Linked DNA regions of Rattus norvegicus. The protein of the gene in region 1 interacts with the protein of each later gene in a biochemical or structural test. Links are inferred from orthologs where the notes say so. Each region holds a gene or a part of one and is shown in the gene's direction. Other genes may lie near its edges.

The links. The genes of interacting proteins can lie anywhere in the genome.
Region 2: the proteins of Topbp1 (region 1) and Mdc1 are reported together in a solved structure, tested with the Homo sapiens proteins (3 studies listed by BioGRID, with this or other methods). The link is inferred for Rattus norvegicus from reciprocal best matches to the Homo sapiens genes TOPBP1 and MDC1.
Region 3: the proteins of Topbp1 (region 1) and Rad9a form a complex in vitro, tested with the Homo sapiens proteins (4 studies listed by BioGRID). The link is inferred for Rattus norvegicus from reciprocal best matches to the Homo sapiens genes TOPBP1 and RAD9A.
Region 4: the proteins of Topbp1 (region 1) and Ticrr form a complex in vitro, tested with the Homo sapiens proteins (2 studies listed by BioGRID). The link is inferred for Rattus norvegicus from reciprocal best matches to the Homo sapiens genes TOPBP1 and TICRR.
Region 5: the proteins of Topbp1 (region 1) and Atrip form a complex in vitro, tested with the Homo sapiens proteins (2 studies listed by BioGRID). The link is inferred for Rattus norvegicus from reciprocal best matches to the Homo sapiens genes TOPBP1 and ATRIP.

The regions. Positions count from the first base shown.
Region 1 is NC_086026.1:112,776,542-112,781,040, forward strand, and holds part of Topbp1 (DNA topoisomerase 2-binding protein 1), read left to right. Parts: intron 1-1,119; coding exon 1,120-1,286; intron 1,287-3,500; coding exon 3,501-3,664; intron 3,665-3,778; coding exon 3,779-4,026; intron 4,027-4,499. UniProt on the Homo sapiens protein: Scaffold protein that acts as a key protein-protein adapter in DNA replication and DNA repair. Composed of multiple BRCT domains, which specifically recognize and bind phosphorylated proteins, bringing proteins together into functional combinations.
Region 2 is NC_086038.1:2,911,483-2,916,542, reverse strand, and holds the start of Mdc1 (mediator of DNA damage checkpoint protein 1), read left to right. Parts: upstream 1-1,582; 5' UTR 1,583-1,753; exon of another isoform or gene 1,754-2,065; coding exon of another isoform or gene 2,066-2,084; intron 2,085-4,232; coding exon of another isoform or gene 4,233-4,234; coding exon 4,235-4,370; intron 4,371-4,996; coding exon 4,997-5,060. UniProt on the Homo sapiens protein: Histone reader protein required for checkpoint-mediated cell cycle arrest in response to DNA damage within both the S phase and G2/M phases of the cell cycle.
Region 3 is NC_086019.1:210,921,684-210,926,781, reverse strand, and holds the start of Rad9a (RAD9 checkpoint clamp component A), read left to right. Parts: upstream 1-1,620; 5' UTR 1,621-1,707; coding exon 1,708-1,741; intron 1,742-1,823; coding exon 1,824-1,894; intron 1,895-2,329; coding exon 2,330-2,458; intron 2,459-2,729; coding exon of another isoform or gene 2,730-2,821; coding exon 2,822-2,936; intron 2,937-3,017; coding exon 3,018-3,117; intron 3,118-5,098. UniProt on the Homo sapiens protein: Component of the 9-1-1 cell-cycle checkpoint response complex that plays a major role in DNA repair. The 9-1-1 complex is recruited to DNA lesion upon damage by the RAD17-replication factor C (RFC) clamp loader complex.
Region 4 is NC_086019.1:143,005,472-143,010,466, forward strand, and holds the start of Ticrr (treslin), read left to right. Parts: upstream 1-1,517; 5' UTR 1,518-1,651; coding exon 1,652-2,314; intron 2,315-4,995.
Region 5 is NC_086026.1:118,597,467-118,602,609, reverse strand, and holds the start of Atrip (ATR-interacting protein), read left to right. Parts: upstream 1-1,665; 5' UTR 1,666-1,772; coding exon 1,773-2,022; intron 2,023-3,235; coding exon 3,236-3,366; intron 3,367-4,083; coding exon 4,084-4,254; intron 4,255-5,143. UniProt on the Homo sapiens protein: Required for checkpoint signaling after DNA damage. Required for ATR expression, possibly by stabilizing the protein.

The DNA.
Region 1 (4,499 bases):
ACACCTCTAATACTATAACTTGGGAGTTGGAGATGAAGGAGTCAGAAGTTCAAAGTCTTCTTTGGCTACAAAGAGTTCAAAGCCAACTTGGATTCAGTGAGATCCTGCCTCAGAAAACAAAACAAAAGGCCAGGTACAGTGAGTGGTCCATAACTTCAGCCCTAGCACTGGGGGCAGAGGTGGGTGGAGCTCTGAGTTCGAGGTGATCCTGGTGTTGGGTAGAACAGTGGTTCTCAACCTGCCTAATGCTAGGACTCTTTAATACAGTTCTTCATAGTATGGTGATCCCAATTGTAAAATTATTTTGTTGCTACTCTATAACTAATTTTGCTACTGTTAAGAATTGTAACGTAAGTATCTGTTTTCTTATGGTCTTAGGTGACCCCTGTGAAAGGGTCGTTTGACCCCCAAAGGGCTCCATTTAAAGATCAAGAACCACTGGTATACCATAAAGAGACTCTGCTTCAAGAATGAATTAACCAAACCAAAAATCTCATTGTATAGCAGCTAAAATGCTTTGATATATAAATCCAACAGACTGAAGCCCCAGAATCCATGGAAAGGTGGAAGAGAGAAACAACTACACAGTCTTATTCTTTGAACTCCATAAGAGTTCCAAGACAGCTACATACAAAACAGTAGCAGATAGAAAGGCCTCCAGTCCCTTTGTGATGGTCATTCTGATGTGTCAGCTAGGCTAGCCTATTTAGTCAGTGCTGATCTCTTCTATGTTGGAAGAGATTTGCCATTTAGCAAATCCTCCTTCTTGGACCTTAGAGCCAGGAACTGTATGCTTTTATGGGATATAAGCCACTTTAAAGAAATATTAAATATAATTTCACTTTAAGAACGAATTTGGGGCTGGGGATTTAGCTCAGTGGTAGAGCGCTTACCTAGGAAGCGCAAGGCCCTGGGTTCAGTCCCCAGCTCCGAAAAAAAGAACCAAAAAAAAAAAAGAACGAATTTAATTTTTTGTACTTTGTCACTAAGATTTCAGTAAAAATCTCTGAATCTTTGTAGGTTTACCCCTTAACCACTTTACAGGAAAAGTTAGTTTATAAGGAAGCGTGCAATGACTCCTTTACCTCAGGAATTTATCACCGTCTTTTACATTTGTAGATCACAGGCTGGCAGATGTCAGCCATATATCCAACATCAACGGCAGCTGTGTAAATGAAACAATGTTTGGTTCAACTACGAGCAAACTCGAATGCACACTTGAGAACCTAGAAAATCTGGACATCAGTATGTTTCAAGCACCTGAAGATCTATTAGATGGCTGTCGGGTATGTCTTTATTAGGTAACAAATTCAGAAGGATGAATAATCTTCAGACCCGAGTTTAGGGCTAGCTCGGGCTACACAGTGAGGTCCAGGTACCCACACACTCTCAGCCTGACTCCAGAGACCCCTCATAGTTGCACTTGCTCCTTATGTGCGTTAACAAACTCTGCACTAACTTAAGCTGCCACTTGCCGTGCTCTACTGTGCTTGCGAGTGTGCCTGGGCTGCAGCTCTATTTCTGAGTTAACCTAACTTCAACTCTGTTCTGAAATCTTACCACTTACCTTAAAAGTATTCAGTCATACCTATCATTTGTTGTTTACAATACATTAATGCCAATAATCATTTCATGTTACATTATTTTATTTAAAGTATAATTTAATTCCCACAAATAAAGTGGTTTATTATCTTGAAGGTAATACTTAGAAGATTAAAATCCTTTTTTAGGGCAATGTGGCTAAAGTGCTTGTTGCTAAGCCTGACAACCTGTGCTTAGTCCTTAGAACCCCATGTGGTGGAAGGAGTGAGCCTCATCCTGTCCTGTGGCATGCACTTGTGCCATGCCCACACATGTATACACACAAGGCATAAATGTAAATTTAAAATACAATAAAATGCTATCTCAGAGTTCTAGACAGATAATACTGTGGTATTCAAGTCTACTTCCTTAATTGTGTACAAGGCCTTGCGTTCAGTGCTCAGAAATAAAAAGAAAAAGGGTTTGCTTTGTAAGATTATTTTCAGTGTGTGTCCATGAGCTCTGTGGTGGAAGCGTCTTGTATTTTAGATCCACAGACCTCACACAGTGCTGTCTGTGCAGCGATGAGCTAGCTACCCTCTTCCTCAGAGTAGGTGCTTAGTGTGTTTTATTGTTCAGGCCAGTGTCTTAGTTAGGCTCTTACTGCTGTGAACAGACACCATGACCAATGGAAGTTTTATAAAGGACAACATTTAATTGGGGCTGGCTTACAGGTTCAGAGGTTCAGTCCATTATCATCAAGGCTGGAGCATGGCAACATCCAGGCAGGCATGGTGCAGGAGGAGCTGAGAGTTCTACATCTTCATCTGAAGGCTGCTAGCAGAATACTGCCTTCCAGGCAGTGAGGATGAGGGTCTCCAAGCCCACCCCACAGTTACACACTTCCTCCAACAAGGCCACACCTTCTAATAGTGCCACTCCCTAGGCCAAACATATATAAACCGTTACAGCCAGTTATCTGTTATCCCTCCTAAGATTTATCAACATACTAGTGGGACAGAAAGACACTTTGTGTAATCTTTTTTTCTTTGATCTTGGGACATACTAATTCTAGAAGTAACTTTGGATTTTTCTTTCTATGTAGGCAGTATTTGATTCCTAATTTTAGGATGTATTCTAGTAATGGTGATAGTTTAGGACATGTGGAAATAGATTGTCCTCTTTGAAATTTTTAAAAGAGGTGAAAAAATTTATGTTAAATTGGCTTAAATATGTACCCTCACATCTAGAATCCTTGTATACATGTTTCTTCAAAGCAGTGTGCTCAGCTCTTAGATTTGCTGTTTTGTTTAATTCAAGTAGAAAAGAAATTTCAGGAAGGATAAATATACAGGAAGAGTTGGCTCAGAGCCTTAAGGAATTTGCTCAGGTCATATGGCTGATGCAAACAGGCAAGCCTGGGTGCTCAAGTTTATAGCAAGCTACAGTTTTTCTTTGTAATTACTCACTTACAAGAAGTTCCTTTACAACTTAAGGAGCTATTGCATGTCAGAAATAGCTCTGCCACCCACCAAGCCTGATCACACACACACACACTGAAAATCTTGGAACAGGTTGTGCACCATCATTTGAAGATGTTGAAGTCTGTCTTATGATTCATTTTCAGCATTAACCCTACTGAGAGATCACAGTGCTGTGGGACTGTAAACAAATACCAGTTACAAATACCAGTTTTAGGCTGAGGGGATGGATGATAGGCTGAGGGGATGGATGAGTGGGTCAGGCACTTGCTGTGAAAAAACATTGAGCCCCAGCACCTATGTAAAAGCTGTGAGTGATGGTGTCCAGCACTGGGGGGTTGAGGGGAGCTAGCTGCCAGTACCTGTGTGTTCACATTAGATTTAGAATATGTTTTATTCCTTGTATCTCCCAAAATGTATATAAAGTATCTTATTTACACACAGTGGATACAATTTTCTTCTTGAGTATGTTAATTCAAAGAAATCTTTCCTTTGCAGATATATCTTTGTGGCTTTAGTGGCAGAAAGCTCGATAAGTTGAGAAGGCTTATTAACAGTGGAGGTGGAGTTCGGTTTAATCAACTCAATGAAGATGTAACTCATGTAATCATGGGAGATTATGAGGATGACGTGAGGCAGTTTTGGAGCAAATCCTCCCACAGGTCCTGTCAGCCTTTAATTTGGAGCACTTGTACTGGGATGTTTTGGGTTAGAGTTGCACGTCTGCAGCTGTGGGAATGCCAGGACTGCTGCCTAACCGAGTGTTCTTTTTCTAGGCCCCATGTAGTGGGAGCAAAGTGGTTGCTGGAGTGTTTTAGTAAAGGATATATACTTCCTGAAGAGTCATATATCCACGCTAACTACCAGCCAGATGGAATTCCAGTTTCAGATCAGCCCAGAAACCAGACAACTGTCTTAGAAAAGAGTGGCACATTCTCTAAGAAGGACTTTGTTCCTAATGAGAAGTTTCAGCAGACTGATGAGGATCTGCTTGCTCAGTATGTACATGATGACTCCACAATAGGTGAGAAATAGTTGATTAGCATTTGTAATTAAACAGTATATAAATTATGATATCTGCCACATTTTTATGAACTTTTTTATTTCCAAAAAGTTTTAGATCTGTAACTTTCTAAGCAAGCAAGGTCATCAGGCTCCAGATGATTGAATCATGCTCTCAGTAGACTATGTTTGAGTATGCACTTTGTGTGTGTGTGTGTTGGTGCCTGAGGTCAGAGGTGAGACCCTCATGGAGCTATAGTTACAGGCATTTGTGTCTAATGTGGGTGCTGGGAACAGAACTCAGGTCCTTTGTGAGAGCTGTGCATGCTCTTAACCACTAAGCTATCTCTGGCACATGTGTGTGAATTGTAACAGCATAAGCTTGTAGCAGATGCCCTCTGACTGGGCTGTGGGAAGTCTTTCCTGTATGCAGTACTGCTCTTGGTACTGCTGTCTCAGTGTATAGCTTCATCAGTGTAGGAAGGTAAATTACCA
Region 2 (5,060 bases), on another chromosome or scaffold:
GGGTTTTGAAAAATACTAAGTATCCTCAAACCTTTAAGGAGATACAAAATGATTCATTAGAATAAGAGCAGGAGTGGTTCACACGGTTAATCCCAGAATCCTGACTAGAAGGCAAGAGAAGTTCAAGGTCAGCTTGGGCTACCTAGAGACTACCTGGACAACCTGAGGCACAGCTTTAGGTTTAATCTCTAAGTGAACAAATAGAAAGGAAAAATTAGATTGTGCCTGCCCTACCTCCCAAACAATAGAGAGGTGGAGGCAGAAAGATACTTGCACTTTGGAGGCTAACCTGATCGACAAAACAAGAGCCTGTCTTGGACACAAAACATATTTGGGGCCAGAGAGATGGCTCAGCAATTAAGAGCATTTATTGTTCTCAGAACAGGTTCAATTCCCATCGCCCACATAGAAACTCTCCACCATCCATAACTCCAGGTCCAGGGGACTCAACATCCTCTTCTGTACTCTGCAGGTTTGTGGTACACAAAAATACATCCAAGCAAGCCACTAATACACATAAATAAATGCCTCTTTTAAAAAAGAGAAAAAAACAAAACAAAGGAAAGGAAAGGGTCTGGTAAGCAGTATCTACAATCATGTAAGCCAGGTGTGTTGGCCCAGATAGGAAGGAGGATCCCTGTGAGTTCAAGGCTAACCTTGTAAGTTAGTTCTAGGCAGAGGTACATAGTGAGCCCCCTTCTCTGGCTTAAAGAAGAAAATGAATCAAAGACATGCATCAACATATAGCTCAAGTCATCTTTTAAATAAAAGAACATTTTTAAGTTGCATTAGTACCCTTTTATCATTAAAAATACGGTATTCCGACTTTGGCTATGCTAACAATGGAAGCGAGTGTTTTATGCTACTTGAATGTTTCATTTACTGTAGGAACATGGGTAAGCCATCCAACTTAAAGCTTCAAACGTCTGGCGATTTATTGTGGATATGTTGAGAAAACCAATGGGAGAGAACTCTAAACTATACAAGCCACCTTCCAGGAATACGTTCATGCTTTATTATAATGAAATAAATTATTTTATTTTGCCTTTCTCCTCTTTTGAAAGATGACGACAGTTTTGCGGTTCTAGCAAAACAGTTTGCTTTATTTAGGATCTTCCATTTAGGAAGATGCCCTCAAAATGTCCGTCATTTTATACATTCATATATACATACATATAAGTGGAAGAAAAGAGAAGTAAGCAATCCCAATCAAAAGGAAATAAAATCCCTCTGCAATGGAGAGTTCTAAAGTGCCACGCCTACGGGCTGTTTTCCAATCTGCAGACTCCCGCCACGACTGCAGCCCGCAACCCCTCATTTCTCCTGAGTCAGCTGGCGCCATTTCTGGGATGACCGAGAAGGGCGCTCTGGCCTTGGAATGACTTCTATGATAGGGCCCTTCTAGCCGCCGCCAGCAACTGGCGCCAGACTCTCTGGTAGGCGTTTGGAAATCTGCGCGGGAAGCATTCCGTTGGTCCAGGGCGCTACCCAATCGCGGCGCAGGGTTCTCAGGCCACACCCCTTGATTGTCGGCGTTTCCTTCAGCCTGTTTCCCGCCGGTAGCCACACTTTTAAGCTGTGAGGGGGCGAGGCGGGGGCGGGGCTTTCTACTTGGGCTTTGAATCAATCGGCGCGCTTTCAGTAGTAAAAGACAGTTCCAGGAGCCAATCAGCCAACCCACTCTCTTCCGGGATTCGCACTCCCGCCACTCGGGTAGCGGCCGTTACTGGTGGCGCGCGCGCGGATTCAGTCGGTGAGTTCGGCCGCCCGCGCCCCGGTTACCATCTTTGATTCCTCCTGAGGGCGGGAGGGGCGTGCCTTAGGTGTCACTGGGCGGAGGTAATTTGGGTTGCGGTTTTAGATTTTTTTTTATGCTGATCCTTGACTGGCGCCCTGGCCCATTTGATGACACGGAAACATTAGGCCACGAGGGAACAAACTCCAGCGTGAGCATCAAAGATGGTTGCCCTTCAATTGGAGCGAAGGGTCGTAGGCGTCGACTGGGTTGACAGGACGGAGTTTACTTCTTGGGGTACACACTACTTTCCCTGTCAGCGGTCTCTCCATGTGTGACATCTTTATAGGTAAAACCCACCCATGCAATTTTGAATTTCTGTCTCTAATTTCAGTAACTCTGGCGGTGTAGCTGCCGTGAGAGCAGGATTCATTTTGAGGATGTATGCCCAAATACCTGAACCGTACCAGGTGTGCATAATTACTGTAGAGCAGATAAGACGGATCCCAGAGTAGGGGAGGTGGGCATTTAGATGCAATTCCACCGGAGAGAGATGTCGAAGACATAGGGTCTTGCCAAGGATCTAGTTTAATTCTGTTAACTTAGCAGATACGAGAAAACATTAGGGGTGATTTAGAAAGGTTCCTTAACCCATCTTATGTTGTCGTTTCTCATCTGAAAAAAAAAAAGAACAACAAAAACAAACAAACAAAAAAAAACAGCCCTACCCTTACAGGGTACTTCTTCCCAAGAATAAATGAGTCAGTCAACCTAATGTGTTAAAATAGTGTTTAACATATAAACGCCTTATTATATGTTAGCTTCTCTGCTTCTTTGCCCTTCAAGCTGAGGTTTGCTGATGAGAGTGCATAAAATAGGGGCTTTGTGACTCTTTATTTCTATTTACATGCTGTGTTATTCTGAGCAAATGAATTTTTGGAGGTATTACCTCCTGGTCTCATTTGGCTATTATGCCTGATACAAGACAGTACTCAACAGTGGATGGTGAAATCAATTAGGGAGTGGTAAAAAGGCTTTTACAAATTAGAACATGTGTAAGACTCTAAGTTTGATCCTCACTAGTTTTCTTCTGTGTGTGTCAGGTTAGAAAAAAAAAAAAACAGGATAGGAAAACAGTATTTTCTAAAGATTTATTTTATTTATTTATCTTCTAAAGTGAATACACTGTCCCATCAGATCCTATTACAGATGGTTGTGAGCCATGTGGTTGCTGGGATTTGAACTCAGGACCTCTGGAAGAGCAGTCAGTGCTCTTAACTGCTGAGCCATCTTTCCAGCCCCAGAAACAGTATATTTCACATACCACTGTTTCTCAAAACCCATACCTCACACAGGTGAGTGCATGGTTCCAAGGAGGGTGTCAGATACCCTGGAATTTGAGTTATGAACTGTTGTGAGCCCCTCTGTGGGTCCTGAGAACCGAACCTAGGTATTCTGGAAGAGCAAGCAGTACTCTTAACCACTGAGAACCACCTTGCTGTTTTTATTTTTGTTTTTAATGGGGTCTTACTGTGTTGTCCATGCTAACCCGGAAGTCCTGGACTCAAGCAATTACACTGCTTCAGCTGCTCCCATACTTTGGGCATACACCACCTCAATCCAGCGTATCTTTTTTTTTTTACCCATCTGTGGGCTGGGGATATAGCTCTGTGGTAGAGCATTTGTATTGGTGTGTCATGAGAAAACAGCTATCAGCAGTGCCTGCTTTCAAGGTCCTCATAGCTGAATGGGGTGTGTCTATCCAGGACATACATTCTATGAATTCAGTCTGTAGTATCTAAAAACAAGCAATCAAGTCACATAAAATATCCCCTTCTGTATAATAGTATACTTTGTGTCCTGGCCAAAAGTATAGATATGTATATATATATATATATTATTTGTTCTGTTTTGGAGGGGGTCTCACTGTGATTCTGGCTGGCCTGGAACTGGCTATGTAGACCAAATAGAGACCTGCCTACCTCTGCCTTTCCATTGCTATAATCAAAGCTGCACATCATCCTGTCTGGTAAGGTCCCCAGTCCTTAATTTTCCTGCTTCATCATCTCACATGCAGGGACTACAGATAGATGCCAACATATGTCTATTAAAAAAGACTTTTTCCTCACTGTTGTACTAAGTGTTGAACATGTGGTCTCACACAGGCTAGCCAAACATTCTATTCACTGACATATTCTCCCACCCCTCAATATTGTTACATGACTGACTGATGGAAAATCATCACCCATGGTTGTGTACATCTTTAATCCCAGCACTTGGGAGGCGGAGGCAAGGGGATCTCTGAGTTTGAGGCCAGCCTGGTCTACAAAGTGAGTTCCAGGACAACCAGGGCTACATAGAGAAGCCCAATCTCAGAGAGAGAGAGAGAGAGAGAGAGAGAGAGAGAGAGAGAGAGAGATCATTTCCACATTTACCCAGGTTTACCTCTAGTTATTTTTTTTCTGACAGGAGCAATGATAATGTGTTTCCTTTATAGATATGGAAAACACTCAGGTGATTGACTGGGATGCTGAAGAAGAGGAAGAGACAGAAATATCCAGTGGATCCTTGGGGTATAGTGTGGAGCCTATAGGGCGGCTGCGATTCTTCAGTGGTACCCATGGACCAGAACGAGGTCAGGGGATATTGGGAGCTAAAGTATGAATGTGGGTCTTATTAGAAGAAGTTAGAAGGTTTCAAAGGGGATATGAATAACTGTACTACAAAGGATGCCAAAGAGGCCACCTGAGTTGACTGTTCAAGGCTGGTGACCTGGATTTTCTAGGAGTGATTTTCTTTTGTCAAGAGAAAATGAAGAGCTTCAAATAAAAATACAATGTGGGGACTAAAAAGATGGCTCAGTGATTAAAAGTGCTTACTGCTCTTGATCCCTGTACTCAGGAGGTGACTCGAGAATTTGAGGGTAACCTAGGCCACATAGTGAATTTGAAAATAACCTAGGCTACATGGAAGACCCTAAATCAAAAAACAAAACAAGAGCTATAGCCATGGCTCAGAGGGAGATTGCTTAGCTAGCATGCGTGAGGGCGCTCTGTTTTCACAGTTGAGCAGCTGGGAAAAAACAAAAATAATGTGAGTAGATAGAACATTGCTGATGAGTGGTACATTATAAATGCTTTTCTGTGCTGGCGTGCCCTGCCTCAGGGTTTGTTGTTGGTTGTTAATGGTTAGCGTATCTAACCAGAACATCTTCAGGGCAGGACTCTGGCCTTACACTCATATCTTTTCTCTGATCCTCAGATTTCCCACTCTACCTTGGCAAGAATGTAGTTGGTCGAAGCCCTGACTGCTCTGTGGCCCTGCC
Region 3 (5,098 bases), on another chromosome or scaffold:
TTTTTTTTTTTTTTTCCGAGACAGGGTCTTGCTATGTGGCCCAGGCTGGCATCTCAAATTCTCAAAGTCCTTAGTGGTAGGATTATAGGCATGAGCCACCATACCTGGCTTAACACCTATTTATTGATCCTAAGCTGTGTGTGACGCACACAAGACAGAGCAACAGACAAAACTGATGCAGTTCCAGCCCACGTGTAGTAGCCACAACAGCAGGGAGCACAAGTATTAAACACAGGAAAACTGATAGGCACCATGGAGTGTTCTGTGCCGAGGGAATCTTTGCTGTTGAGCCTAGGAAGAGAAGCCAGCATGGGAAAAGCAGGCCACAGCCTTGGAAGCAGCCAGAGTGACAGCCAAGGGCCTGACAGGACTTTGGAGATAGGTGATCAGAGGTAGGATACAGTGAAGACATGTGGGACCTGGATCCTGAAAGTTCCAGATTAAGAGACCAGACTTTGGAGAGTTAAGCTGGTGGAGGCAGATCGCTGAGGACAGTGGAGACAAGGAGGGCCACTTTGCCGTCTGTTTGGTAACAAAGTAATCAGAATCCACTGAAGAACTGATCAGATGAGGAGGAGAGGATGCTAACAGCTAACTCCAGTCTAACAGTGAACTGGACGCCTCTATGTTGCTCACACTGGTTGCCTTGGATGTGGAATGGGAAAGCAGTCTCCTCCCCGGAGGCTTTAAGAAAGGAGAAGCTAGAGAGGGAGAGGAGCCTAAAAAAGAGGAGTTAGATAACTAATACAGACTTCCCGTTAACCCACAGGACACAGCAGGGAAATGCAAGTGTTGCTCTAGGCTGTTCTTTTCACACTTGAAGTAACTAAAACCCAGAGAAAGTTGAATGCATCCCAGCTGATAGCCCTCATCCTTGACACTGTCTGGGTAATTGGTAACGTGTACACAAACTACGTGTAGTGCTTAAGCCTTTCCACGACTTCCCAGTTCATCCCTTCAGCCCTGACGGGCTCAAGGCTCGGGACACTCCACCCAGCCATATGGTCCTACCCCATTGTGCCTCTGCTTCTGACAGACCCATCCTTCTACCCTTTTCTGTCCCAGAACCTTCTGATCTTTCCGTGTATTTATGAAGGTCAGTGAAGGATCCTGAAATCAGAATGAACAGCCTCTTTTCATGGTTCTTGAAGCAAGTTACGTTAATTTTTTTTTTTTTTTTTTTTTTTGAGGGGAGCTGGTGGTTGCTGCCACAACAGAATCATCCCTGGCCCTGATTGAGCGCGAACTTTCCTTGACCCTGTAACCCCACACACTAAAGTTAGTGACTCCAGAGGGTCTACTCTTCCCATGTTCGGACTCTGGTCCAGAACTCGATCCTTGGTGCAGGCACCTTGCTCCTCGGAACTGCATCTAATGTGGGAGCCCGGTGGAGCAGCAGAACTCTGCAGGGTGGGAAAGCCAGACCCGATGAAGGACGCAGGAGCGCTCCCTCCGTAGTCACGTGACCCAGGCCACACCCAAGGAAACGACTGAATCACGTGGCGCCGAGCTTAGGAACGTTTTTCTCACGTGACGGAGGAACCCCGGGTGGACCAATAAGGAAGCGGAGGCCAGGCTGGCGGCGGGGAGGGGACGGTGCGCGGGAAGAGAACTTTAGGCATTCCTAGTAGCTGCTGGGACTCGTTGTGGGTTGTATCCCGTCCCGGTCTGGTTGTAAAACAAGCTCGGCCTCAGTGTTTATGTACCATGAAGTGCCTGATCACTGGGGGCAACGTGAAGGGTAAGTTTAGACCTGCTTTGCAGCAGACCATGTGAGCAAGCCCCTGGAGTCCCCCTAACCACTTTCTGCTCTCCTTCCGTAGTGCTGGGAAAGGCTGTCCATTCGCTATCCCGAATCGGGGACGAGCTCTATCTGGAACCCTTGAAGGACGGGGTAAGAGACTGGGACGCAGGGATGGGGGCCGATTCAATGGCGAGTGGGGAGCCTAGGCTTGGCGTTCACTCGGCCTTACAGGGTGATGGTGGACAGGTATTTCGGCTCAGTTTATTTCCTCTTGAGTTGTTGGGACATCAGCTTGGGCCCTGTCTTCTGAGGCTGCATGTGTATACAGAGGGCACTTAACTCTTCCTAGAGCGCCTTGTGGCAGGCAAGGTGGGGCTAAAGTAACTTAAGGGAAAAACAAGCATGGCAGACCCTGAGCCGCGGAAGACTGGGAGATCTACATGCAAGAAGGTCTTGCCACACAGAAAGGGAAGGGGAGTTTCATTAGGAAGCGATGGAAGAGAACTGCCGCTGGATGAAATGCAGGGCATTTAGTGAGCCTGACGTGGCCCCTGACTATTATCTTCCCTGCTTTTTGTGCCTCAGCTCTCCCTACGGACTGTGAACTCTTCCCGTTCTGCCTATGCCTGCTTCCTCTTTGCCCCCCTCTTCTTCCAGCAATACCAGGAAGCTTCCCCTGGTCAGGATCTGCTGCGCTGTAAGATCCTGATGAAGGTAAGGACCACCTGAAGCATCCACAGCTGTGCCTGTGTCAGGTACTCAGTAAATGATGACTAGGGAGTTAGTCTCATATGGGAGCTAGTCCATGCAAAATGCAGTGAGGTCGAGATGTTTAGACTCTAGAGGGTTATAAGAGCACTGGAGAGGGTGGTGACATTCAGGTTGGTCAAGAAAAGTTTAGCAGCCCTTCCCAGCAAAGAGAACAGCATGGACAAGCCTGGTAATGTGCAGACATCCTGCATGCAGTGGGAGCCCCCTTTCACAGCTTTGTTGGGCCAGTGATGGACCAGGGCCTACATGGGATGTAGAGCTGGTCCATGGAAGCAGAGTGCCAGGCCGATGTCCTACCCTGCCCAGTCCTTCCTGTCCGTCTTCCGCTCTCTGGCAACGGTGGAGAAGACTGTGGAGAAGTGCTGCATCTCCCTCAGTGGCAGCAACAGCCACCTGGTGGTCCAGCTTCACTGCAAATATGGTGAGCAGGCAGCTGGCCAGCTAAGAGTGGGGGAGTGGAGTGAAGGCTGTCAAGCCCACTGAGACCATTTCCCCTATCCAGGGGTCAAGAAGACACACAACCTCTCCTTCCAGGACTGTGAATCCCTGCAGGCTGTCTTCGACCCAGCCTCATGCCCCCACTTACTCCGCACCCCAGCACGGTGAGCATGCCTGCTTCGGACTTCACCTGAGTCTCTCCCACCTTTGGGGCCTTAAGTGTTATTCTAGGATATCTCACTCTCAGAATGAGATGAGGATGGCGAGTGGGGAACCTAGGCTTGGCGTTCACTCGGCCTTACAGGGTGATGGTGGACAGGTATTTCGGCTCAGTTTATTTCCTCTTGAGTTGTTGGGACATCAGCTTGGGCCCTGTCTTCTGAGGCTGCATGTGTATACAGAGGGCACTTAACTCTTCCTAGAGCGCCTTGTGGCAGCAAGGTGGGGCTTCCCACCTCTGGATGGAGGTGGGAAGGTCAGAAGTTTCAAGGCCAGTGAGTTTCTAGGCTAGCCTAGGTATTATGAGACAGTCTCAAAAAAGGGTGCATATGCTGGGGAGATAACTCAGTAAATGTGTGATGTACAAGCATGGGTGCCTGTTCCGAGTCCTCGCTTAGATAAGAATGTGTAATGTCAGTTGGCCGGCGGTGCACGCCTTTAATCCCAGCACTTAGCAAGGCAGTGGTTTTCTGTGAGGACAGCCTGGTCTACAAAGCAAGTTGCAGGCAGGCAGGCAGGCAAGCAGGGCTACAGAGAGAAACCCTGTCTTTAAAAAAAGGAACCAAACCAAACACCAAGATGGGCAGCACCTGAGAAGCAGCAGCACTGAGCATGTCTTCTGCCCTCTGCCCATGCACGTTCACACAACACAAAAGCACCTTTGCCTCTAAGGCGGAAACTCGGGGTTTCTGTGTCAAGGCCACACATCGCTTACCTTGCTCTTCAAGAACAGAAGCTGCTGTCTCTCGCCATTCCCACTGACTGTGGGTCCTGCCTTGTGTATCCCAGAGGCCTGCTCTGCTTGTCTAGAGAGAACCTATGACCTGCCTGCAGATCTCTTTTTTTTTTTTTAAACATTTATTATGTATACATCACACAGCTTTCTGCCTGCATGTATGCCTGCAGGCCAGAAGAGGGCACCAGACCTGATTGTAGATGGTTGTGAGCCACCATGTGGTTGCTGGGAATTGATCTCAGGACCTCCGGAAGAGCAGACAGTGCTCTTAACCTCTGAGCCATCTCTCCAGCCCCCTGCAGATCTCTTGTATGACCTGAATAACCCTGACAGCCTGTCCTTGACCCTGTGTCACAGTTTCAAAGCCCTCTGACCTCTCACTCTTCTGGTAGTGTCCCTCTTTTTTTTTTTTTTTTAAGATTTATTTATTTAATGTATGAGTATACTGTCCCTATCTTCAGACACATTAGAAGAGGGCATCAGATCCCATTACAGATGGTTGTGAGCCACCTTGTGGTTGCTGGGAATTGAACTCACAACTTCTGGAAGAGCAGTTGGGTGTTCTTAACCACTGAGCTATCTCTCCAGCCGGGTAGTGTTATATTCCTCTTATAGTGGCTTCTTCCTAACTGCCAGGGCTCTAGACTCTGGGCCAAAGGAAGGACCTGGGCAAAGAAGCTGGAGTCTAGGAGGGCTGCTGCACAGCCCGACAGCCCACGTCAAGACAAGGCATGGCAAGGAGAGTGTTCCAGCTGACATTAAGGTGGTCACTGAAGCCCAGAATGCAGTGGGTTCTCCCAGCATCCCCTGCCTGTGCTGGACACTGCATGCAAGTAGCCCAAGGTCCCACTCATTTCTCAGACTGAAGTCCCTTCAGGTCCCAGTGTCATCTTCCCCAGGGTCTGTTAATAGTGATAAGAGTTCCTTTTTGGAGGGGCTATTTCCCCCCTAAATACTGGCAACAGAACCCAGGACCTTGTGTTTGCTGGGTACTCTGTACCACTGAGCTAAATTAAATTCCCAGCCCTAACTGCTTCTCTTCCTCATATAGTTTCAATATAGAAGTCAGGATGGTGGCTCAGCAGTTAAGCCTGTTTCTTTTTAGCCTGACTGGTTGAGTTGTCAGGTTTTAAATCCCCAGAATCTACATGGTGGAAGAATGGACTCCCATGGGTTTTCTAGTCTCCACA
Region 4 (4,995 bases), on another chromosome or scaffold:
AGTGCTGACTCACAGCCAGCTGCGACTCCATTTCCAGGGATCCTATTCCAATCTCTGAGCACAGTATGAACATATGGGCAAAGCACTCATACACACAAAATTTAAAAAAAAAAAAAAAAAAAGTAAAAAAGCCACTGGCCAGAGATGGGACTAAAAGGGAGCATGCTTGCCAAGAACATGCCAGGCTGGGAGTTCCATCCCTAGCAACACTCCCATGATCCTACATACAATAAAGTTAAAAGGAAAGTGGTGGGGTGGAGGAGTGGGGGTGGGGGGCACATATGAGTGTTGGAGATGTTGGTTCAGCGCTTGGCTGTCCAGCATTCAGGAAGCCTTGGGTTTGATCCCCAATACCCCATAAACCAGGTTTGGGGGGGGGATGTCTACAGTCCCAACACTGGGAAGGTGGAGCAAGGTGATCAGAAGTTCAAGGTACAGTTTGAGGCCAATTTGGAATATAAGAGAAAGTCACAAAAACAAGCACGCAACAAAATCAAGTAAAAAACAACCCAATATGTCACAAAAATACTAATGTCTATTAATGGATGAGATGTAAGAAGGCAGGTGCTGGGAATCGGACGTTCTAGTGTGATTTTTCAGTACCCATTGAACTGGCTTAGGTACTCTCTGGTGTGTTCACTCCTTAGTTTGTAAAACAGCCTCCCAGGTGCTCTGCAGACTCCTGGTTTACCTCGCTGCTTCTGTTTTAACTCTTTTAGGTATCTTTAATATTGCATTTTCCCACCTGGGACCCACAGTGCTCTTTCTGAAACATGAGATCTGTTACTTCCCTTTCTTCCCTACAACTCCTCCCTGCCTTCCCGTCCTTTACAATAGAATATCCGAGTGCTAAGTAGCCTTGCTAAGTACGCCCCCGCCCCCCGCTGGCCTGGAATCCACGAGTCTCACCTCCGCCTTCTGAGTTTGGGGATTTTTGAAATGTATTTTTCGTCTTTTTACAGAAAAAAAATTAAGCCCTCGGTTAAAGGATTCTGTTCCCTAAAAGGCTTAAGAGTAGTTAGTCTAAAGCGAGTTTGACTCATCCCAAACCCCTTCCTGTGCACATCCCAGGCTTCAGGGTTCTAGTAAACATGCCCCGCCTCTGGCAGGCGACTTATACTCTCACACGCGCGCGCGCGCGCACACACACACACACCCCGACCAACGCGCACTCACACGCGCACACACACACAGACACACAACTCTCCCCACCCCTCCATATACATTCACACACTCACACACCTCTGTGCACAGTGGCCCAAACGCGGGCTTCCGTGCCCACCGCCACGCCCCCGAAGTACCGCCTCTTTAAATTTTAAAACGAAGGCTCAAGCCAATGAGAACTAAATTTCTCCCGGAACTCAGCGCCCCGCCCACCGCCACACCCTCCACCAATCAAGCGGAGGCTTTCCACACGCCTTCCAGTTAGGCTTAAAAATGGAAGTGCTTACGTAACTTACGTTCAGCCGGCAGCCAATAGGAGCGGAGCTTGGAAACCAGCTCCTCCAATAGCAGCAGTTGTCGGAGAGCGCGGGAGCCTTCGGAGCAGGGCCTCAGAGGAGCGGGCAATGGCGCTGGTTCTCTGAAGAGAGTGCTTTACCCCAGGAAGGGCAACGCGGGGCCGGGCGGAGGGAGTCCCGTGGCGGCCGAGATGGCCTGCTGTCACAAAGTGATGCTGCTGGTGGACACTGCGGGCGACGCTGCTCGCCATAGCTCCGCCCGGCGCGCCGCCCTCCGTCTCCTAACTTACCTGAGCTGCCGCTTCGGCCTGGCCAGGGTCCACTGGACCTTCAAGTTCTTCGACTCTCAGGGGGCGCGAAACCGGCCCTCCCGCGTGTCCGACTTCCGCGAACTGGGGAGCCGCTCCTGGGAGGACTTCGAGGAGGAGCTGGAGGCCAGGCTCGGGGATCGCCCTCCCGGAGCTCACCTGCCCGGCCCCACGCCCAGGGCCACCCACACGCACGGTGCCCTGATGGAGACGCTGCTCGATTACCAGTGGGACCGGCCGGAGATCACGTCGCCCACTAAGCCGATCCTGCGAAGTAGCGGGAGGAGGTTGCTGGACGCCGACAGCGAGGCCAAGGAGGCCGAGACCGCGCTCGGGGGCTTTGGGAACGCCGTCTTCCTCCTGGCGCCCTGTCCGCACTCACAGAGGGAGCTGCTTCAGTTCGTGTCCGGGTGCGAGGCCCAGGCTCAACGCGTGCCGCTCACCCCCAAGCAGCTGATGGAAAAGGTGTTGCCCAAGAGAGTCCAGGAGGTCATGATCGCCCGAAATATAACCTTGTACTGGGTGGACACCACCGAGCGATCTAAGGTAAGGGGAGAGCAGTCTTGATCCAGTACACAGCTCCTCGACAGCTGAAATTGTCAGGCTCTGTAAAGTGCCATAGACCCAGAATGAACCCTGTGTTCTTTCCGAAGGAAACCCTTGCGGGTCACAAAGGACAGATTTTCCTCCACCCAGATCTCCATGGGTAGATTCTGGGTACCTACTAAATATAAGTGGAAGAGCTTCTGCGCTTTGGTACCAGTGTGCTTTTGCGTACTTAGTTTTACACAGCATTTGTATTCCAGCATGTGGAAGCCTGGTTCAGCCAGGCTACAGGGCTTGACCGATTGTTTTGTCTTGTACTGCTGTGTCTTCCTTGACCTCTAATCCTCTCACTCTAAGGCAATAGAAACTTCTCTTAACGTTTGTTGTTGGCTCGCCCTGATGGCCACCCAGCCCCCCACCTTTAATCCCAGCACTCAGGATGCAGAGAGAGTCAGGTGTATCTACCCCCTAGGTCTATGCAGAGAGACCCTGTCTCTAAAACAAAAACAAAACCCCTTTGTTGTTGTGGCTGGCGCTCTTTCTCTATTCTGTTCCAGTTGGACACACCTGTCATTTTCCATTCATTCTAAAAATGCTACCTCAATGGTAGTGGCCCATGGAAAGCTGAAGCAGGTTAGCCACAGTTCAAGCCAGGGCTGCAAGGTCTTGTCTCAAAAAAAGCAAACAACAAAAATCTCAAAGCCAGCTACCAGGTCTTAACTCCGTTTTCTGTTTCCCCACAATTGAACATTGTGAGTGTTAAGTAAATATTTGCTGATTAAATTAATCACTGTTCTACAAACTTAGTCTTAAAACAGCTAATAGTGTGTGTGTGTGTGTGTGTGTGCGTGCGCGCTTGTTAGTTTTGAAACAGACTGGTGTAGTGTAGTGGCCTGGAACTCTGTGTAATGGAGGATGACTTTAAACTCTTGGTCTCCTGCCTTCATATGTATATAAATTTTTCTTTCTGTTACATCATTTGGTAAAGATATATGCACTAATGAGCTACTCCATTAGGTACATCCTACCCTGTTTTAGGTGCTAGAGATATGGTGGGTAAATAAAGTGTATTTTCTAGTTCGGAAGATATATTAGGCAGATGAGCAAATCAGTGACGATTTCAAAACTTGTTCCAAAGAAAGGCTGGGTGAGGGGAGGGAGCTGGTTCTCGTACTTAGAGGTGTATGTAGGGGAAAAGGCCTTTCTTGCATGCTTGGATAGTGAATGAGGAAGAATGTGAAGCTGGGAAAGACTATTCTAGACTTAGAGAAGGTGTGTGTAAGGGTATGAGCTAAGAGTGAGCTTCGTATTACATACAGAAAGGCGAGGAGCCCAGAACCCAGAAAAGCAATGGGGAGATCGGCGAAGTTAGAAAGAAGTGGCCAGTCCCCCAGGCCAGGCTTGAAACGTTGGTTTTGTTCTGATCAATGAGAAGATTTAGAACGTGGTTTAAATGGGTGAGGAGCTTCCAGTTAATAGAACTGCGTAGCTCTAAACCAGGAGTTGGTTATACAGCAAGATTACAGATGAGAAATTAACAGTAGTCATACAGAATGTTAAAATTTAGGGCAAGAATTGGGGGTAAGAACATTTCCAAGAATTAATTTAAAACTTTAATTTTATTTTGCATGTGTGGGTGTTTTGTCTGCATGTATGTCTGTGAATTACCTGCAAGGCTGGTACCTATGAGAGCCAGAAAAGGGCCAGATTCTAGGGACTGGAGTTATCTGTGGTTTTGAGCTGCCATGTGGGTGCCAAGAATTAAACCTAGTTCCTCTGAAAGAGCAGACAATACTCTTTAACTGCGGAGCCATCCCTCCAGCTGTAATAAAAATATGTTAAAGCAGGTTGTTTGATCCATGCCTTTAATCCCAGCACTTAGGCAGAGGCCAGTGGATCTGAGTTCAAGGCCAGCCTGGTCTACATCTTGAGTTCCAGGATAGTGAGACCCTAACTTGAAAACAAACAAACAAATATTAGGTGTATTAGGGCTGGAGATGGCTAAGGTTAGGAGCACTGATTGCTCTTCCAGAAGACCTGAATTCAATTCCCAGCACCAATGTGGTGGCTTACAACCTTTTGTAATCCCCCCTTCCCCCACCCCGGAATTTGACACCCCCTTTTGGCCTCCGAGGACATCAGACAGGCAAGTGGTGCACAGACATACATACAAGAGAAACACCTATATACATATAATAAATTTGTACACATAAACTAAAGATTTCCAATATAAATTGGGTATGGTGGAGTGCTTGGGAGAATTGTGTATAAGTAACACAGGTAAGTGAAAAGTCCTCTGTTAACTTTGCCTTTTATCAACAGACAGCCCCACCCTACCCTTCCAAGCTGCTCTTCTGGCTGAATCAGTTTCAGTAGATTTGTGTCTAGTGACATCTGAACTAGTTTGCTGTTCTTTCACATAACAGTGAACTACATGGATGATAACAGATTAATCAATTGGTTAATTAATTTCTATTTACTGTTTCAGCACTTCGAAACTTCCAAGATTGCTGTGCATGACTGAAAGAAAACTTTGAGACCAATACATCCCTGGTTTTTTGTTTCGTTTTGTTTTTAAAGACAAGGCCTGTGGTATATATAGCTCAGGTTGTGATTTAGCCTCCCAAATGCAGTGGCATTTAATTGACCTATCAAGGTTCATGAAAGTGTCATTTTTAAAA
Region 5 (5,143 bases), about 5.8 Mb from region 1:
CTGTTTCCAGTTCAAGGGGAGCTGATGGCCTCTTCTGGCCTCAGACATACATGCAAGCAAAACACGGTCATCTCCAAAACGCAGCTTCTTTGGGCTTTAGGCCCATAGGGTTTTGCCAGCTGACACCCAGCTCTGTGCTGCTGAAAATAATTTATCAATAGTCATAGGCTCCTGCCACCAAACAGAAGGTATTTCTCTTTTATTTGGTGGAATCTAATCCCTCCTGACAATGTTCTTTCTTCCAGAAACAAAGATCTTAACTACTAAGACCCGGGCAATCAGGCAGGCATGGTAGCCCACACCACTTAGAGACACAGGAGGAGTGAAAATTTGAGGCCATCTCAATAAACAAAAACAGCTTGACATGGTGGTTCGTGTCTATAATCCCAGCACTCAGAGGGGAGGAAGGACATTCTGGGATTCCAGGGCCAGCTTTGGTTATAAGTTAAGACACTGTCAAAAGGGGGTGGGAGGATGGGACACTGGGAGGCTTAAGCATTCAACATTATGTTGAACAACTAAGGGAAATTACCAGCAGCTGAATCAAAATACTAAGGCAGTTCTAAGTGATCCAAGGCCTCTGACTTCTGTAGGCATCAGGCATGCATGTGGTGCACATACATGCAGGGAAAACACTCACGCATAAAAAAAAATGGGGGGGGGGAGGCGGGGAGGGGGGACGAGGGAAGGAGGAAGGGAGGAAGATAGGCACACAGGCCTAACACTTTCTAGGCCTGAGCACTCTCCTTTTTCACCGGATGCCTCAGCAAACATTGATTGGCTCACAAGCTAAGTCTGGCACTGAGCAGAGTAGAAAGATCTTGATCTTGTTGCTCTCCAATGCTAATCCCCCACGAATCCTCCCATTTCTGGTAACTGTTCTGCCCACCACTTCTGCTCATACACCCAAGCCCAACTCCTCGGTGAAGTTTTACCTCCTCTCTCTGCTGCAGTAACTTCCACCTGTCATCCTTGTCGAAGTTGAATTTTTTTTCTCAGAAACATCATGCGTCAGCCTCCTAACCCATTTTTCTTGCTATTTCTCCCTCAATCTGTTGGGCAATTCGAGGACCACTCCCGGCGAACCTTCGTTAACCTCTTGAGCTTCATTCGTCTCTACGCTACCAGCGCTCCGGACATAAAGACTCTCCAAGAAATAAATGGAAGTCGGAGCAGTTCCTAATAGGAGGCACACGTTCTCGAGACCATCCTTCCCAGACTTTTTCTCAAACATACATACTTGAAACTTTAGTTATCCTGGAAGATCCCTGCTTCCAGAAGAACGGCATTCCTTCTCCTCCCCACGTCTGCTCTTCCCAGCCTCCCCTCTGAAAGAGTCTCTGGACACGTGAATGGTGGGCCAGCCGCGAGGAGTGAGGTCAAGGACAGCTGACCCCTGAAAGATGCCTGCCTTGATTCAAGGCGAACTGCTTCTCTGTATTCTAGACAGTGCCGGGGGACAGCCACAGGTGAGGTCGGGCAGACGGTCCTCCATCTCGCAACCGGGGTAATGCTAACAGCACTGCAGTGTCCTGGTACTGCCGGGGACCTCAGGGTACTGAGCCCAGCAAGGCAGGAACCTGTCCCGGGTAACGGCGCGCTCTGTATACGTCACCCATCTGTGCCCGGTAGCTGGCAGCTGATTGGCCCGCAGGCTGGGGAGACGCTAGTAGCTGAGGGGAACGGCGGCGCGCGGGCGGTTGGGCCATCTCAGGCTTTCTGCCGATCAACCTGTGCTTGGCGTCCTCAGATGCTGCGAGCTGAAGGTAGTCATGGCCGGGACTCCCGCACCGAACAGCCACAGGAAGCAGAGTGGCGGCCTGGAGCCTTTCCTCGGTCTGTCTCGGTCCATCGAGAACCCTCCGAGCAAGCGGGCCCGGAGCTTCTCTGAGACCACAGTTCCGGACCCCGAAGACCCATTCGGCGAGCACGCGGAATTTACTGCGGACGACCTAGAGGAACTGGACATCCTCGCGTCACAGGCCCTGAGCCAGTGTCCGGTCGCGCCTCCGAACCTGTCCTGTGAGTGCCGGGGGGGGGGGGGGGCGGGGGTGTTCCCACGGCGGGTGGTGCAGACCTCTTCAGCTTGGTAGCTTTGGTACTGGCTGCTTGCACCGACGTTACCCTCTCACTTTTAAAAACGAAATAGCACCCGATCGAAACGCGGTTCTGTTTCAAACAACCCTCTAAATTGGTGGTAAGACAAAAAAAAGTCAAAGGGCCTCACATATGCAGATTTGAAATATAGACAGCTAGACTATTAATTATTTTCCTTGAAACATGACTACGATCACCTCAGGACCGTCACAACGCATGTGAGAGGATTTAAATGTTATGCACCCCATTGTTAGAAACCCTTGGGCAGAAAGCTTCTGTCAGAGGCAAGAGATGAGAGATTCATACACCACCAATGCTGGTTGCCCAAAGGTGAGGAATGGCAACAGCCATAAGCAATGGGCGAGCGATGCCAAAGCTGCTTTCTCTCTTAGAGCTTACACTCTTGGGGAGTAAGTTAAGTGTCAGAAGGGTTTGATGGAGATCTTGCAAATGTACTTAGCATTTAAAGCATCCGAAAAATAGGATTATCCCTGGAAATGTGGTCGGTCCTCCATCTCTCCAGCAATATTGCCTGGGAAACACTCATTGCTGACCAGCTGTATTATGCCACAGTGGTTAGGCACTAGTTTCCACGAAGTGGTACAAGGCAGCACCTCCCCATCCCCACCTCTTGGCCCTACGTCACTCATCATCCCATACTCTAACCCTGGAGTGTCCCCACCCTGGGGACGTATCCATTTTGTTCACCATCGGTCTTTAAAAACCAGCAGATCCTGTGCCTAGTGTGTTCAGTAAATAGTATTCATAATAGAGGCACAGCCAATGCAGACTCCTTTCAGCCATGAGCTGAGACTACAGAAAGTGGGTGGGGATCGAAAGGGGGAATATTCAGATATGCTATGCCAGAAGGATTCTCTATATCATGCTCTGAGATCGGAACTAATAAATACTGTTTACTGGGTCTATCTCAACTTGGACTCCTTTTGCATTTTATGACAATGGTGGGTATATAGTGAGCCCCCAGGTATATATACATGGTATTTTCTTCCAGACAGGTTCTCCATCTATAACTAAGCTAGCCTTGAACTTGAGATCCTGGTGCCTTAGCCATCTAAGTGCTGGGGTTACAGTTACATGCCACCATGCTCAACCTAATGGGGACTATTTTTTTATACAGGTGCTCATAAGGTCCGTCGACTAGATGGGTTACCAAATAGTCCTATAAGGAAAAACAGAGAAGATATTCCAGTTAAAGATAACTTTGAACTAGAAGTACTTCAGATACAGTACAGAGAACTTAAAGAAAAGGTGTGTAACTTTTGGGTTTCCTTTTTTGCCTGTTTGGTTCTAATACTGAGAATTGAACCTAGGACTTTACCTTCACACATGCTATACACATACATAGCTACAGTTAAGTCATACTTCCAGCCCTAATTTGTTGTATTTGTAGCTGATTCATGTGTTTATGTATTAAGAAAACATGGGTAAAATACATAAAGATATCTAAAACAAGCACCTAGAGTCACCTCTCTGAAATGACAGGAGGTGGGGAAGGAATGCCTGCTACGTTATTTACTCTGTGTACATACGTGAGCCTGTGCGAGTTTATATGCACTGCATGTATGCAGGTACTTGTGAATGTCATGGGTGTTGGATCCTCTGGAACCATCGTCACAACTGGTGTGAACCACCTGACATGGGTACTGGGAGGGAACCTGGGTCCTCTGTAAGAGCAGTGAGTGCGTTTAGCTGCTAAGCCATCTCTGCAGCCTCCACAGCCTGTAGCCTGTCTTTATCTGAGGAACATGCCATCATAATGGCTGCTATTTTGTTAGTGTTGCAAGCTCTCATACATCTCTCATGTGGGTCATCTGTAGGTGCCCAAGAAACCCAGAAATATAACATGGAATTTTAGTCCATGTAAGGTGTGATCTGTGGTGTTAAAGCTGAAAAAATCTATGTCAATGGTGAACGTATTCGGAAACTGTTGTTGCTGAATATCTGCTAATTGGGCCTAATTTGCAGCTGAAAGCAATGGAAGAAGAAATCCTAATTAAGAATGGAGAAATTAAAATTTTGCGTGACTCACTGCATCAGACAGAATCCGTTCTAGAAGAACAGAAAAGATCACATTTTCTTCTTGAGCAAGAAAAGACTCAAGCACTCAGTGAAAAGGAAAAGGAATTCTCCAAAAAGGTGAGCTAGAACATTTGTGTTGCGTGCGACGGACAGTAGTGTTGCCTACCGCTGAGTTACAGTAGAAGCCATACTATGCCTAGGCAAGCTGGCACATGCCTCTAATTTCAGGAGGCAGAGGCAGGTGGAGCTCTGTGAGCTCTGAGCCAGCTCACTGCAGGGTGAATTCCAGTCCAGTCAAGTGAGACCCTGTGTCTAAAAAATAAACAAAATAAAAGCAGTAACCAACCAGCCTTGCCTGGAAATACACAGCCATTGTCTAAGTGCTCTCCACTCTTAGTGGGTGGTATGTGCCTTTCTTCCGTGGTCTGCATTTGTTTTGGACAAGGAGTAAGATGAGGCCCTGCCTTGCTGTGGTTGTGGTTCTTGGCAGGAACAAGTCACTAGCTTAGAATCTCTAGGATAGGCTTGAATTAGGCTCCTTGGTAGGTTAGAAATCCAGTTGGCTCGGCTTAGCCAGAAGGAAATACATTAGCTATCACATCCAAGTCTAGGAAAACAGGGGCATAGTAGGGCTTCAGATGGTGTAAACCAGACATCTCAGGCTCTCTGTTGTGAGACCTGTTGCTCTATCAGCAGGGGTTCTGACTGGATGAACTCATACATTTCAAAACTCCAGAGCTTTGATTTGGGCTTCCTCAGCTGGGCATAAATTGGGAGGCTGGTACAACAGGGTTACCATGGGTCCAAGGCCAGCCTGGGCTATACAGTGAGATCCTTTTTCAGAAAGCCAAATGAAAGGCTCCCTCATCTCAAACTTAAAATTTTTAAAGAGGCAGCCCATTTTCAGCCGGGTTCTGAAAGAGGTCTCATTTAAGTCACAGGCAGAGGGAGGAAAGGGAGCTCGTGTTCAAAGAGAAATGGTAGGTACCAGTCTCAGCACCACTTT